2 linked regions of the Oreochromis niloticus genome follow. The protein of the gene in region 2 interacts with the protein of the main gene of each other region in a pairwise test. Links are inferred from orthologs where the notes say so. Each region holds a gene or a part of one and is shown on either strand. Other genes may lie near its edges.

Region 1 (7,797 bases), on a different chromosome or scaffold from region 2:
GTCATTTCAAGTCCAAGCAGAAGGTTAGACTGAATGGTCAGATTTTCACTTTTTCTGTGAACAGTTTCGTGACCTTTGCTTTCAGAGCAGAGGGTTTACTGTCAGCAGCAGCTATTGTTTCCCATTTTTCAGGTTTCTTCAAGCTATTTTAAATCACTACCAAAAAATATTTGGACTCCTATAAAACGATTGCTGGAACAGCATTTAGTTTCAGTCATCATTTCCAGCAGTATTTGTCAGCTTTTTTAGTGAAATGCATTAAATGCATTAGTGCTGAGAATGCAGCCACAGGTTCTTTCTCCTTTTCTCAGCAGCAGCAGATTGATAATCATATCTCTTGTTTCCTTACTGCTGGAAATTACAATCAAAAGTAGCAGTGATACTGTTTATGGTCTGTATACTGCAGGTTGTTAAAAAGAGCATTTAGTTTATGTCACTGACCCAGAATGCATTACATACTAATAGTACTTGCAGATAGGTAAAAATGTGTGTTAAACCTGAAAGACTTTTTAAAACAATGACATTTTTCAACAGTTTTGTTGAATATTGGCTGTTTAAAGCATATTAAGGCCCACAAGTTAAATAGTCGGGGCTCCTTTTACACAGTTTTAGTCCTGTTGGCAAATTATTGATGAAAATGCAACCGTGCCTCGTTTAAAACCCTCAACAGATAAAGCGTGTGAGCTGTTGTGAGAAGTTAGACTGGTGAGCATGCCTCAGGTCATCCAGCCTAGAGAGCACGCTCAGTGAGAGCATGACATGTCATTTGAGAGTAAGTGAGAGTAAAATTAAACATAACTCCAGTTCAGTATGTTCTTAGTTTGGCTGCTGATGTAATACCTTCATTACGTCTAATAAGAAGTATCTTTTCAGAGGTTGTAAAGTATTCTGTGTGTTATGGAAATCATCAGTTCATCGACAGTTGTGACAAATCAAACAACCAGTACTTTTTTGTAACAAACAGATTAAAGTGTACTGTAGGCCACCATATCTCAAACATGTTTTTGTCACATCTCATTTCCTGAAATCCAACATGGTCAGAAAAACGAATGCGTGTCCCCGGGTTTGCTCCAGTCTGGTCTCCATGATTTTTTTCCTCATGTTTTTATTGGCCTTTTAATGTACATCACATTTGAGCCAACCAAAGTTTTGTTGTTGCAGTCACACAAATGTCACACTGAATGTAAACTGATCTTTGAAAATACTTATTCCGCTGAAATAATCGTTTTGAATTGTCTTCACATTCCGGTTCCTTGTTGATTGTAGGTAGGTTAATATCAGGGAACCTTTTGGAGGCTGTGGGACATGGCTGAAGCGGTCTGTCCACTAATGTATGGGGGGGGGGTGGTTCACTGTGTCCCAGCTGGGCATCATGTACAGAGTAATGCTGTAGGTTACCTTACTGTCGAGTGTTCAGTATCACCATCATGCGCTTGGCAGCCTTCACTAAATCTACTTTTTCTAAACCCTCCCCTTTTCAAGGAACATCATTTCCATTTTTGTGCTTCCATATCTTTTTCACACCATTACTTTTCTTTCTCTTCAGATATTTTTTGCATTGTATATAAACATGATTGCTGTGAACACTGTATTATAAAGTTGCACCCATTTACAAATGGGCCGTAGTTCAGTCAATGTCTCTGAGTGTTGGAGTTTTAGCGTCAGCTGTTTGTGTACACTAAACACATTGTCATATATGAAATAAACATGGAAAATATGCAACACAAAAAAATGACTTGTCTCTTTTTTTTGTTAAAGACAATACAACTTTTGTTTTTGGATTGTCAGTTGGGCAATCGCAGATGTTGTTATGATGGTAATAATGTTTATCTGGAAGATCCAAACTCCAAAAACCCAAATCAGACACCCAAAGAGCTCTGCCATCAAAGTCCATCTGGCAGACTTTGCAGCTAAGACATAGATGCATCACTTTAGTCTGTCATGACATCAGTTACAGCTAACTGTTCCTCCTTCTGCATTGCTTGGCTAATCAGCTATCTAACAGGTAACTATGCTCAGCATAGAAACATGTCACATGTCAGTCCTTATGTTGAAGTGACTCTAAGCCCAAGCCAGCTGTATTAGTGTTAGAATCATGAAGGTGAGAACTGTATGTTGGTGTCCTATGTTTTAATAGTCTTCACCAGAGTACAAATCACACATACTTTTCATGATGCAGTAAACTGTAAAAAATTGAGGCCTGCAGTTTGTGAGCTGTGAGCCCATAAAGTCATCAGGAAAACATTCACTGAGTTCACAGGTTAAGTAGCCAAGGCGGTTTTTCATACACTTCTATATGACTGAAAGTCTTTGAACATAAAATGTGAGTTAAAACATTTCAGCAGCTTCATTATTAGGGAACCTGCATCAATCTTTTATATATAGTTCATGTCATTTGTGAAAAACATTGCTGAAAATGACCCCATCATTTCCTCCATATAATGTAGTTGTAATAGAGTATAAGAAAATTAGTTCATATCTATATTTAAAAATGTTTCTTAAAATTCATATCAGACCCCAGAATCCATTACTGGCCAGGCTCAGGGACAAGACGGAGACGAAGAATCCTGAACTGAAATCGTTGGGAGATTTCCACAACAGCTTCCAAAGAGAACAAAATAGCTTTAAAAAAATTTTTTTTTCTAAAATAACTTTTAACTCTAAAAAGAAACAACTTTTTTTAATTAATCAGCCTTTTTATGTTAGAGTGAATTTAATGTTTCAGTTAAAATAAAATTAAAATAACTGTCTAAGTTACACATGGTCCATACCAATCAAGATGGCTACGGGGTGACTTTTAGAATTACTTTGGCTCTATCACTTTTCGTCCCTGCTAATCAGTATGTAGTATTTTATCACTATTTGGTGTAAAGAAACCTTTAATAATGACGTTAACTTGTTAATGAGGAAAGGTATCGCATATAGATTCAGATCATGAAGCGGGGACCATCATCTCCTAAAACAGACAAGCAGAACAAGGCCATTTTCACATATAACCACCTGCATGGTTGAGGCTTGACAGATTAATTTGCTAATACACCACCCTGAATTTGCATTGATTTTTTTTAATCACCCCCTTTGACTCTTTAAATTCAGCCTTGATTTTTGTTAATATATGCGTGTATCTTAGTAAATACAGGTACACTGCCTGTTTTTCTGAGCTCATGAAAAGTTGTATTTAGAGATGTGTAGTCCTCGGCCACGCTAAAAAAAAAAAATTTACAGAAAAATTATGGATTATTATAAATTAAAAGTCCCAAATGAATACAGACTATTAAGAATGAATTAATCGGAGAACAACTACGCTCAGAGAAATTAAATACTCCTGGCACTTTCAGCTCCCTGGCTGTTGCTAAGCAGCAGACGCCAGTGTTGCCATGTCTGTGTGTCAACGTTTTTTAAGAGCTGTTTCTAAAATAATTCTCTTCTTATTTTACTTACTTACTGTTAATATAAGTTTTCATCTACTAGATTTAAGTTGCTGGGGGGTTTTTTAAATTATTTTTTCAACATGGTACCTGCCGGACTTCAAACTAAATTAAAACTAACCCTTCTGAGTCTTCCCCAAGTTGTGAGGTGACAAATCTCTGAATAATTTTTGCTATTTAGTAATTAATTATATTTACAAAATAAAGAATAAAACACTGAAGAACATGACAGTAACACTCAACTCTTCTACATAATAAATTAATATTTCTTGTGCGGTTTCTTCGAGATATTAAACTGTGGGTTTTCTTTAACAAATCTGGCAACCCTGTCTGGGACGTGACAGAAACATGCTAGCTGGCTGATGATTGACCCGTAGAGTTGTAAATCCATTTAGGAAATCTTCACATCAGCTTACAAGGTCAGATACAAAGCTTTGGCTGTCCCTGGAGGATTCAGTTTCTTTATAAATTTAAGCTTAAAGGCGGAATCACAGTTAAATACGATCTTATAGCGAAACTAAGTTAGCTAAAAATTAGCTAGCTGCAGGCTAAAGTGAGAGCTGTCACAGAAAGTTAGCGTTAGGTGGATAATGAAGAGCTCGAGCTGACCGACAGTGTCCCTAAAGATATCTGTGGTTCTTTTAATGCGTTTTCTGTGTGCTGGTTGACTAGAGTGTTGTGAACAGGTCGCTGGATGTTACGTTTGCTGGCTACCAGAGGACACTGGACAACTATGACCAAAATAATCTTTTTTAAGACTGTGTTCACTGAACTTTTGGCACTATAGAGGGTCTGCTAATAAGTGCGCATTTTTATTCATAAATTTGTGGAGCTGTACGTGACTAACACTGCGTGAGGAAGCAATCCAAACCGTGTGCGTGGCACAGTCACTGGAGTTGGCAAGCATTCAGTTTGTGATGCAGAAAATCCATGAAAAAGTTTTAGACAAGTTTTACACTGCTGGAAATGCAGCGAATGGGACACAAGTTAGGCAGTCATTTAAGCTATTTATCACAGAGAATATTCAATCACTACGTTTCAGTTTCATTTCTAATGTGCAGCTGTCACTTTAGAAATAAACAGCATCTCTGAGATGTTTCTCATCGATGAGAAATCCATTTAAATCCATTAAAAAACAAAGCAGCAGATGAACTGTGAAATATCCAAGAATTGCAGATTCAACAACACGTCTCTGTTTTCCATATCCTGTCAGTCTACTGCCTCTACAGATTACAGATAGCAGCACAGATGAACAAAATCTTGTATTTTATGCAAAATAATAATGTGTATATCTTTGTATAATTAAAACAACTTACTGAAATCGATAAATACTTTAGTCTTTATTTATAATCCTGTTTTATAGACTAAGGCTGGTATCAGTTTTTACACTTTTGTTGGGCAGATTCAGGGTAAAGGTCTAAACTCGTTCAGTCACATTTTGACGTGTGACTGAACAAAAAACTGGATCCCAGATATCAGAATAAAGTAAATAAACGGACACACACACAAAGTATCAGCATCTGCCGTCAGTGAATGTCATCTTATTTGCAGACAGACTGATGGTAGTTATATTCTAGTTATAATGTAATTTATCTACACACAGACATCCAGGTAAATGAATTAAATGTTCTTTCCTCTCCAAGGGTATTATGGCCAAAAAGCTTGATGATGTCCCGTTGGTACAGGGTCCCACCTTCAGTGAACATAATTTTCATCACTTTTCAGAGATGAATCTAGACAGGTAAGAAAATAATGTTGATATATATCAAGTTAATAGTACAGCAGCAGTGATGCTGTAACTTAGGACTGCTGAATTACAGCAAAAATACTATTGATTTATCATAATTACTCAGGTTATAGGTAGGTTTTAGAAAATTTGTGCATTTTAAAAAAATATTTTTCTTATTTTAAGAATGATCAGAAACCCAAATAATTGATTGTAATTTAAGTAATTGAAATTTGACTTTTTTATGAGTTGATCTTGTCATTAGATAGTTTATTAATATGTTATGATGCATAAACTTCCCGTAGCACAATGCACAAAGTGTGATCAGAGGTTTTTTTTGTGTAATTCAGGATCTACATGGATTACAATGCTACTACCCCTCCAGAATCAGAGGTGATTCAGGCCATTTCTGAAGCCCTCCAGGATGCCTGGGGAAACCCGAGTAGCAACTATATAGCAGGTGAGGAAGGCTTGAAGCTGTGTCAGAATTAAAAGGTTTAAAATAATTGTTGTTATTTTTATTTTTCCATGTGTATTAAATAAAGTTTTGTGAGAATTTTTGTTAAAATTCCACATTGTGTGTGCAAATCCTAAACTAGTGACAAGAATTGGACATTAGTGCTCTAACTCTGTGCCAGTATTCCTTTATGAAATATGGCAAGGTCACTCTACCAAATAAATATAATAGAAACTCTTAAATGTATATTGTGTAACTGGAGGAGGGAATACAATCACAGCAGCTTGTGTGGATTAAACTTGTGGCTTTCTCTGAGTGCTGAATGTGAAGTTTTTACTGTTTTAAATGAGTTTCACCATCAAAAGAGAATGCTACATCTCAATGTTTCAGTCATTTATATTTTCAGGTGCTAAAGCTAAGGCTATCATCAATCAGTCCAGAGAAAATGTGGCAAGAATGGTTGGAGGGAAAGCAGAGGACATCGTTTTTACCTCTGGCGGGACTGAGGTGGGCAGGGCTCTTTTCTGTTGCAAATAAGTTATGTGAGTCATTTATGATCCTGGGACATTACAAACTGTGGTTTACAGGAAAGATTTTGTCTTTCAGGCCAATAACCTGGTGCTGCACACCGCTGTAGAGCACTTCAGGAAACACTGCAGGGCTGCAGAACAGGGTGCAGGACACCAGAATGGATGCACGGGCCTTCCTCACATCATCACTTCTAATGTGGAGCATGACTCAGTCAAACTAGTTGCTCAGCACCTTGAAAAGGAAGGAAAAGCAGGTAGGAGGCCACTCTGTGTAGCTTTTATTAAAATAAAAGATTAATAAAGAAATATTTCTTGTATTACAAAGGACAGTGTAGGATTTTCTTTATTGTACTTAAAAAAAAATTCTCTCAATAACATGCTGCAGATTTCCTGTGGATAATTAAAATGTCTAAAATAAAAATCAAGACAATTAAAGGCCAATAACATTAATGTCATAATCTTTTTTTTAATGAAGATGTAGTACCTTCTATGTGCCAACACGTAAGAGTGCTAACCCAATGGAAAACTTTAATTTAATTCTGCTTTTTTACATTTTAATTTTTAATTATTGAGTTTCTGAAAAGGTCTTGAAAAGCACTGATTTCCATTTTTAAATAGTGCCGGGTCCTTGATAGTCTTCCAGTGGTGGTTCAAGTTAAATGTTGCCAAAGAATTAGTCATTTTGGCATATAAACTGCTAAAGCACTGCCTCCTAGTGGTGAAAGTTTTGGTTTAATTCTGTGGAGGGTAATTACAAAAAGTACCTTTAAACAAATCAAGATTCGCATAACCTAATGTGGGCTCCTTGCCTTTAATTACTTTCTCAACTTTGTTTTTTGTTTTTTTCCATAGACGTGACTTTTGTGCCCGTGTCTAAGGTGACAGCCCGGGTAGAGGTGGAGGATATCATTGCTGCTGTGCGCCCCAACACTTGTCTCATCTCTGTTATGCTGGCCAACAATGAGACAGGAGTCATTATGGTAAGATGAGAGAGAGGCTAGAAAATCCATCAGCCGAGTTTCTGTTAGTACTAATCTATCCATTCATCAATTTTTTTCCACTTACCCAGTTCAGGTTCGTGGAGGGGCTGGAGCCTATCCCTGCAATACTAATGTTAGAGAAATAATTTTTGGGGATCTTAAATTAGACCATTAACACGTAGGATAGTGTCTAGCTTTAAAGGAGCTTATTTTCTAATTAACTCATTACTTATAATTGCAATGTGTCTATGAGTCTATGCAGCTCTGTGTACAGCTGAATGCTGAACCACCTTCTTGTTGTCAGCCGCTTCAGGAGATCTGCCAAAGAATAAAGTCTCTGAACAAGCAGCGTGAGCGCCTCAGGATCCTGCTCCACACAGATGCTGCTCAGGCGTTGGGGAAAATCCGAGTTGATGTCAGTGATCTGGGAGTGGATTACCTCACCATAGTGGGACACAAGGTCAGGATCTGCTGTGTGGGACATCTTAAGAGCTTTTTATAGCAAGGCTAAAATGTTATTGAGAGGTTTTGTTGTGTTTCTAGTTCTATGCCCCTCGCATTGGTGCTTTGTATGTGAACGGCCCTGGGACAAAAACTCCATTGTATCCGATGCTTTTTGGTGGAGGACAGGAGAGGAACTTTAGACCAGGGTGATGATCTTTACTGTAAAATACTG
Region 2 (7,302 bases):
TACAGGCAAATTAATGGAAATAAATCCCCAACATAAAGCATTTTAGTAAGAAGATCTAGTGACTGTGAAAGCCATGAAGTAAAATTTACATTCATATTTAAACCACTTAGTTCCCTGAGGATGACTCCTGGAAGAGACGACTACCATCGGGATAGAACTTTTTCAGCACAGGAGAAAGGCCATCGTTTAAAATCTTCATATTGACTTTCAATGAGGGGACAAACCATGCTAGGAGACTGCTCTCTGCCACACAGGCGCTCATCCACCAGTCGAGAATACGACCACTCGCTCTCAAATGTGCACTGCTCATTGTAATGAGGGATGAATGCAGTGCAGCTCTATTGTAATTGTTTTACAGTAGGGCGGTTCTTGGTGACAGTCTGATTACATCCTGCACTGACATCCTCATTCATCTGAGAAGGAGTTGCTCTTTACTTTTACTGGGTGCACTGATGCACGACCATCACTTTTATCAAATGTGTGCAGTCGACCACAGCTTCCAACCCCGTTTTACTGACGCCTTTCCCATTGATCTAAATCGCTCAGAGCAGCATGGGACCGTAAATCTAAACACATTCAATGAAAAATCAATCAGTGCCTTCCATCTGTCCTCCTATCAGTATCAGATATTCTTTTTTTAGTACAATAACTTTATTGTATGTAATGAATCCATGCTTCCTCTTACAAAATGAGGTACATGTCCTCTGAATACACTCTTTTATAGTCTACAGTATTTCTCCAGCATTTTTTAATACTCATAACTTAGGAGGTGAAAAACAAATTGGAGCTTTGTTAAAAGCAGCAACCAAATCAATGTAACGCCCACTGCAAGTGTCAGGATCTAAAGTAAAGTTTTAAATGGGATATATTGGAGTTTTGGTCATTCACTGAAAAAAAAAAAAAAAAAAAAAAGCATTTGGGTCAATTTTAAAGGGTCACCATGTCAGATTGGAGGCAGGTCAAAACAAGATATATCATTTACCTACATTTTTACACTGGGGTCACCTTCTTCTTTGCAATCTAAATCATTTTTTAACACAGTCATGATTTAATACTACTTTCGCTCTCATAGATTTTAAATTTGTGCAGTTTTGCTATTAAAGCTAGGATCTAGCCCATAATACTGATGCTCAAAGTTTGCTCAGGGGCTATAGAAAAAAACATTACACTGCCTCTACTATGAACATCCTGTCTAAGATCATTAAGGACAGCGTAATGGGTATCTGTGTCTATTTTAACTTTCACTTCAAGTTAAAATAAGTTTGTATTTGATGCATCTTAATTGTATGCACTGCTCAGGGAGATGCTCCAAATTTCATTGTGCACCTATACAGAGACAAATACATGCATTCTATTCTCTTCTATTCTAGGATGTGACATTTTGAGCACGTGTAAAGTTCATATGGTTGCACTTTTTAGCGGAGTATAAATGAAATTAAAGGTTCATTTTAAGTAGATATATTTTGTAGAAGAAGTTATGAGGGTTTGAGATGCTAGAAGAAATAAGCCAAATTAAAAAGTGCCAAAATCTGACCCACTCATGCCCTCTTCAAGGGACTGCAACATTGAAAATGGTCATTCTGAAGGTAAAATTTTGGCTTTATTAATCACACTAAAAATATATATGTGTGTGTGTGTGTGTGTGTGTGTGTGTGTGTGTGTGTGTGTGTGCGCGTGTGTGTATTTTGTTGTTTTAGTATGGAATGATTCTGCTCTCACTTTACTCACTGCTCCTGCTGAAACACCAGGAGTTGTGTGACTGTCACATAGATACTTTTTCCCCATTATCCCATTACTTAGATCATAATCTGAATTAGCAGGACCTGCCTAGGATTTTCCTACATGCTATGGATGCCAATTACTTAACTGTACCATGTACTGCACCTTCGACCTTCAGTCATTTTTATTTGTCACCACTCTTATCCCTGTTCTACACTGGATTCAAATTTGAGGTGGGTTGATCAATCCAAATATAGTATCAATAGTATTGATACCAACACTGCTTTTGGTATCAGATCCATACTAGTGCAATAGGAACGATACTTTGTTTCTATCCTCTAAGTTCAGTATCTAGCCCAAGGAATTGCTTTAAATCATTTTTAGTGAAAAATATACTTCAGGTATGCACTATGAAAAAATTACAGGAATCTTTTTTTGTGTTAACCTCCACATCAATTTTATTTATAGCTTATAGCACATTATAAGCTAGAGAATTTAACCTAACGTGCTGCACATTTAGACTGCAAGTCTCCAAAAAAGCCATTTTCACAGAAAGCTAAAAGATGCGTTTTTATGTGTTAACTAATTATAGTGAAAAGTAACAATGACAGCGATTTAATGCTCATTAAATCTGTTGCAAATGAATGACGATTTATTAATTTTCTTTTACAATTTACAATTATCGGTATCGGCAATATTGGCCGTCTATGTACCTGGTATCAGATCGATACCAAAAATCTACAGTATCGCACACTACTGCAGCCATTTTCATTTAGTTCAAGTGCAATGCACACATTATGTGGGGTTCAACTACCAAGCCTTCTTACTAAAGCAGATAAGTAAGAGTCAGACAGATGGCATATCAGACACGGTGCTCACCATCCTGCAGGGCCCATGGTCTCTGCTCTCACGCGGGCTCTGTCAGTCTCCCTGAGGAGCTCCTCCACTGCACGCCTAGATGGATAAATAAAGAGAAAAAACGTCAAACACTGTTCACATGCAGGGGAGGAGAAATGGGGAGAAGCCGAGGACAAAGATGGCGCAAATCCTCAAGGGGGAGCCAAGGGGAGAATAATCTAATTAAGTGAGAGAAAACAGAGTGATGCGGAAGAGAAAGTGAATCATCAGGAGCAAAAGGGGAACAGTGTCCTGGTTTGACCCGAGCTGCTGAATCGGCACAATCCCAGCAGAGGAGACCCGCTGATCTACTTTTATAAAGGACAGGCAGCTGATGGTGTGTGCCACCACGAAGGCAGGCTTTCCATACAATCACAAGCTCGTCTAACAACACAATAAATGAGGCTCTTTTTTACCGACGGAGCGCTGTTACGGATTTAGAGGAAACCTGCGTTCAACAGTGCGCAAATACCGAGTGAGGACAAATATTAACACAGCTACATACTTCTCCAGCTCATTATCTTCTGCCATCGCGATCACACGCAAGCTTAATTGCGCTAAAATCGATGGATGATCGTTAATTAACCCAACATCGCTTGTTTACCTCCTCGCGAGGTCCTCCGACCGAGGACCCCGAGGATTTTTGCTGCCCTGAATAATGCCAGATCATTTTTAACTTCACCGTCCACCCTTTTCTGTTTTCTGCCATTTCCCAAATAACTTTCGTGGACAGTAACCGACTAAAACGTTATAATAAAAAAAAAGAAATCCTGATATTTAGGTCTGGGCTCTGTTTATCACACAGTTAACAAAATGTACCCGTTTAGTAAAACGAAAGCGATGCCGCAGTGGTTGTTTTTAATTCCCCATTTTTACCGTAAACTGGTATAAAGCTGCTGTGTTCATCAAAAATATTAGCTTAACTTAAGAAGTTGGCAGTGGTTTTGTCGTCATTATTTCTGACCATAGAACGACCTAAATTCTGGTGAGGTTTGTTTATTTTATTGCTCTGCTTGGTGAATGTTATACGTCAGTGGAAAGGTTTTTGTGCTAATTAACTATTAACATCTCTCAAAACTTGTTGAGAAAGGGAGACATTCTCATCTTTAAAAGCGGCATTTATCCAAAACTGAAAGCTGTAATATTAAGTTTCACTTATTATTTAAAATAAAACTAAGTCATGTTAATAAGTTTTAATCTCACGCCCCCTTTAAACCTTTATAACAGTAGCCTACAATGTAACCAGTAATCTTCAAAAAGAATAACTTACAGTATGTATGCATTTATTTATTTACGTTTTTGTTTGTTCCCTGTATTTATTTATTTATTTATTTATGTATATGTATTTACTTATGTATTTTGCATGTATGTATGTATGTATGTATGTATGTATGTATGTTTATATATTTATTTATTTAGTTATACGTGTTTATTCGTGTATCGATTTACCTATGTTTGTCTGCGTTACAAATATATCTGTTTATTTTGATGTGTTTGCTGACTTATTAGAATTTTTATGCATAAATATATTTAAACGCATTTTGTTTTATTATTTATTTTTATATTATATTATTTACTTATTTATTTGTCTATTTGGTTGTTAATTATTTATTTACGAAAAGGCGGTCTTAAAGCCACCCCCTAGCTCTCCTCTGGATTGACAACCGTATGCCCCGCCCACTCGGTTTTGACGGACAGCAGTGGGCGGGGTCAGCGCTGCCAAAGGCACGGGGGCGTTTTCGTGCGGGTTTTGCGGAACGGTCCGTTGCGGTGGATGCGTGATTGAGGTCCCGCGGCTAATAATCACCCCCCTTTTTGGGGCCGGAGTGCACGGCGCGGAGGAGCCGCCGGAAAAGGTAACGTCACATCACATCTGCCCGCGCGAGCGGTGTCAGTGTGTGGCTGGCTTTGCTTTCTATGCTGCTGTCGCCTCATCGGTCCCAGGTTTTTCCGCTTGTGGGGAGGGTGGGATGGAGTCAGACAGATGGGGGGCAATGATTAAAAAGAATTTCTGGTATATGCAAGACTGTCGGGCTTGCGTATTTGATCATGACACTGCAGTGGGAGCGCTCCCAAGGTAGATCAGGTCTATGCCAGAAAAAAATAATTGTAAATTTAAATTAAATCAGTGTCTTTTTTTTTGTTTTTTTTTTTTGTTATCTTTGTGTGTCTGGGTGGTGTGGAGGGGGGTGGTTTAAGAAAAAAAGGCAGCCTATTGCAACAGACCTTGCAGAACAGCAGCAGCAGCAGGCCTGTTCCTGCAAGTGGCTACCAGAGCCTTTTTTTAAGATAAGAGAGATGGGGTTTTATGAAAATGTAGGCTAAGCCGAGAGGACCTGAGATTTTAAATCTGTGGCCTAAAACATCATTTCATCTTCTTTGAAAATGTAATTCCTGCACACTGGACTGCCATGTCCTGTAAGATTAGATTGTCATTTCGAACAATAAGCAGAGAGACAAGAGTGTTATTTACTGAAATGGAAAGCAGTGCAATGACAATAACAGCCTGGCCTTGGACTCTCATACACACACGTACATACACACTGTGTGGTGGGATTAAAAGAGATATTCTACAAGCATTTGCCAGTCTTCATATTGTTTGTATAAAAGAATCTGTTGCAACAGCTCTGTTTAAAACACATTTAAGTGCTTTTCACTGCTCTGAAGTGCCGTCACAGTGAAAACACGAAGACTTTACTTATTGATAAAGACCATTCACAGGTACCTAAAAACGCTCTTGTGCTTGATGTGCGTGTTTGCTTTTGGTTGTGTAGACTTACGCTCGCATGTCTACGAGTGTGTGTGTGTACGTGTGTTTGTTTGTGTGTGTGTGTGTGATGTGGTGATGTCACATCTTTGTTATAGAAACAGAGAAGCCTTGTGTCCTCATGATTAATTCATGTCCAGCTGCGGGATAGAGACAGAAGCAGCCAGTCACACGCAGACAGGAGGAGCACGTACTTAAAGGAGGCTGAAATAAGTAACTACCGGTGGGGTGGCCAAGGAGACAGGAGGGACAGGTTGTCACAAGGAAGGAAAAAAAAAAGACCCAGACGAGATGAAAAAAGCAGAAAAAAACGACTCAAGGGGACTCTCATCATCATCGTCTGCGCTGTCTGACAAGCTTTCAGGCTGTACCGAGGAGGAGGAGAGCATCCTGCTGAGAGGAGTGCATCTGTTGTGTGGCTCCTCTGCATCCTTCTCTGGCTACACTCTGAATGTCAAGCCCCACTGAGCAGAACGGGATCCAGGTCGTCATGGAGACAGGAGCAGACCCTCGCTGGAACAGAGGCAGGTAGTCACTGTATCTTGGCTGGGCCCGCTGAGCGTAGAGGCACGCCCTCTGCTGTCGGCTGATAGCATCTGGCCCCTCGGAGGCTGGGCTAATAGAAGGGCCGAGGGGGTCTGAGGGGCTTTGGATGTGAAACGCTGTGGAAATGATCAGCGCACACTGCGGTGCATTAGCTCTGGGGACACGCTCTGCTCACTGGAGTGCTATATTTCAAGACTTTGCTTTGGGCGTGTTCTCTTTCCGTTGTAGAGGAGACTGAGTTCATCTACTGTACCCAGCCTGAACCAAAAATATCAAGCGTTTTCCTTGGCTTCCCCCTCCTTCCCTCCATCCTCTCTTCCATTTCATGTTCTTATTCTTCCCTTGTACCTGTTTTCACATCCCATTGATCTCTTCTTCTTTTTCTTATTCCACCTGTCTACGCTCCCTTCCATATCTTGTCGGCACCACTTTCCTTTTCTGCTGCTTTCCCAAGCTCACTTTCTCTGATCTGTGCCCTCTCTCTGCCTCAATCCCAGATAATTCCCTCTTTGTGGAATTGGAAGATTGGAGCAGGCGAGAGCAAAAGAGAGATTATACTACCAGATTAGTGGACAGAAGCAGCAATACATAATCTCAGCTGTGACATAAATGGGCACACACACACACTCGGTGTCACCCTCGGTCTCATGCAAACACGTGGGCACACGTGCACAAAGCATTTGCCACATGAATAAATGCCCAACACTTGTTGTCTTGTTTTTTTCTGAAACAGCTGTTTAACTCTCTTGTTTTGGCCTCTGACCCACAGGGTGATGTGCCATCAGCCACTGGGGGGCATCTGTCCTCTCCGCCACCTGTTCAGCCTCTGAAGCTTATGGGATAGGAGTGTGTGCGCCCCTTCCCAACCGCTCTGCATCCCAGCTGGACTCAGTCGTGCCAAAGCTGAATTGTGTTGAAGGAGAAGACATGGGCAGCCCGGGCTCCGAGGTGGGTCTGGCTGGGTCCATGGAGCCAGCTCTGGAGGCTCTGTGTCCCGAGTGTGGCCAGATCCACCGCAGCTGGGAAAACCACCTTTACAACTACCGTCTGGAAGTGGACGACGATCTGGTGTGCCACATCTGCCTGCAACCGCTGGTGCAGCCTCTCGATACGCCATGCGGACACACCTTCTGCGCCCGCTGCCTGCGTAGCTTCCTCCAGGAGAGGGACTTCTGCCCTCTGGACAGGACGCGGCTGCAGCTGCAGGCATGTCGCAGGTCCAGCATCCTGGTGCACAAGCTGCTGGACAAGCTGTCTGTGTCCTGCCCTTTGACCCCTGTCTGCTCCCTCAGCATGCCTCGCTGTGACCTGGAGGCGCACCTTAAACACAGGTAATAAAGCTTGTATGCAGATGGATGAATGCATGAGATCAT

Evidence for each region. The genes of interacting proteins can lie anywhere in the genome.
Region 1: the proteins of lnx2a (region 2) and scly interact in binary tests that used the Homo sapiens proteins (3 or more experiments, as listed by UniProt). The link is inferred for Oreochromis niloticus from reciprocal best matches to the Homo sapiens genes LNX2 and SCLY.

The regions. Positions count from the first base shown.
Region 1 is NC_031986.2:32,420,359-32,428,155, forward strand, and holds the start of scly (selenocysteine lyase), read left to right. Parts: upstream 1-4,779; 5' UTR 4,780-4,987; coding exon 4,988-4,990; intron 4,991-5,071; coding exon 5,072-5,169; intron 5,170-5,504; coding exon 5,505-5,614; intron 5,615-6,017; coding exon 6,018-6,118; intron 6,119-6,217; coding exon 6,218-6,395; intron 6,396-6,993; coding exon 6,994-7,121; intron 7,122-7,425; coding exon 7,426-7,581; intron 7,582-7,664; coding exon 7,665-7,771; intron 7,772-7,797. UniProt on the Homo sapiens protein: Catalyzes the decomposition of L-selenocysteine to L-alanine and elemental selenium.
Region 2 is NC_031974.2:18,923,276-18,930,577, reverse strand, and holds the start of lnx2a (ligand of Numb protein X 2a), read left to right. Parts: upstream 1-4,298; 5' UTR 4,299-4,472; intron 4,473-5,523; 5' UTR 5,524-5,911; intron 5,912-6,698; 5' UTR 6,699-6,856; coding exon 6,857-7,260; intron 7,261-7,302.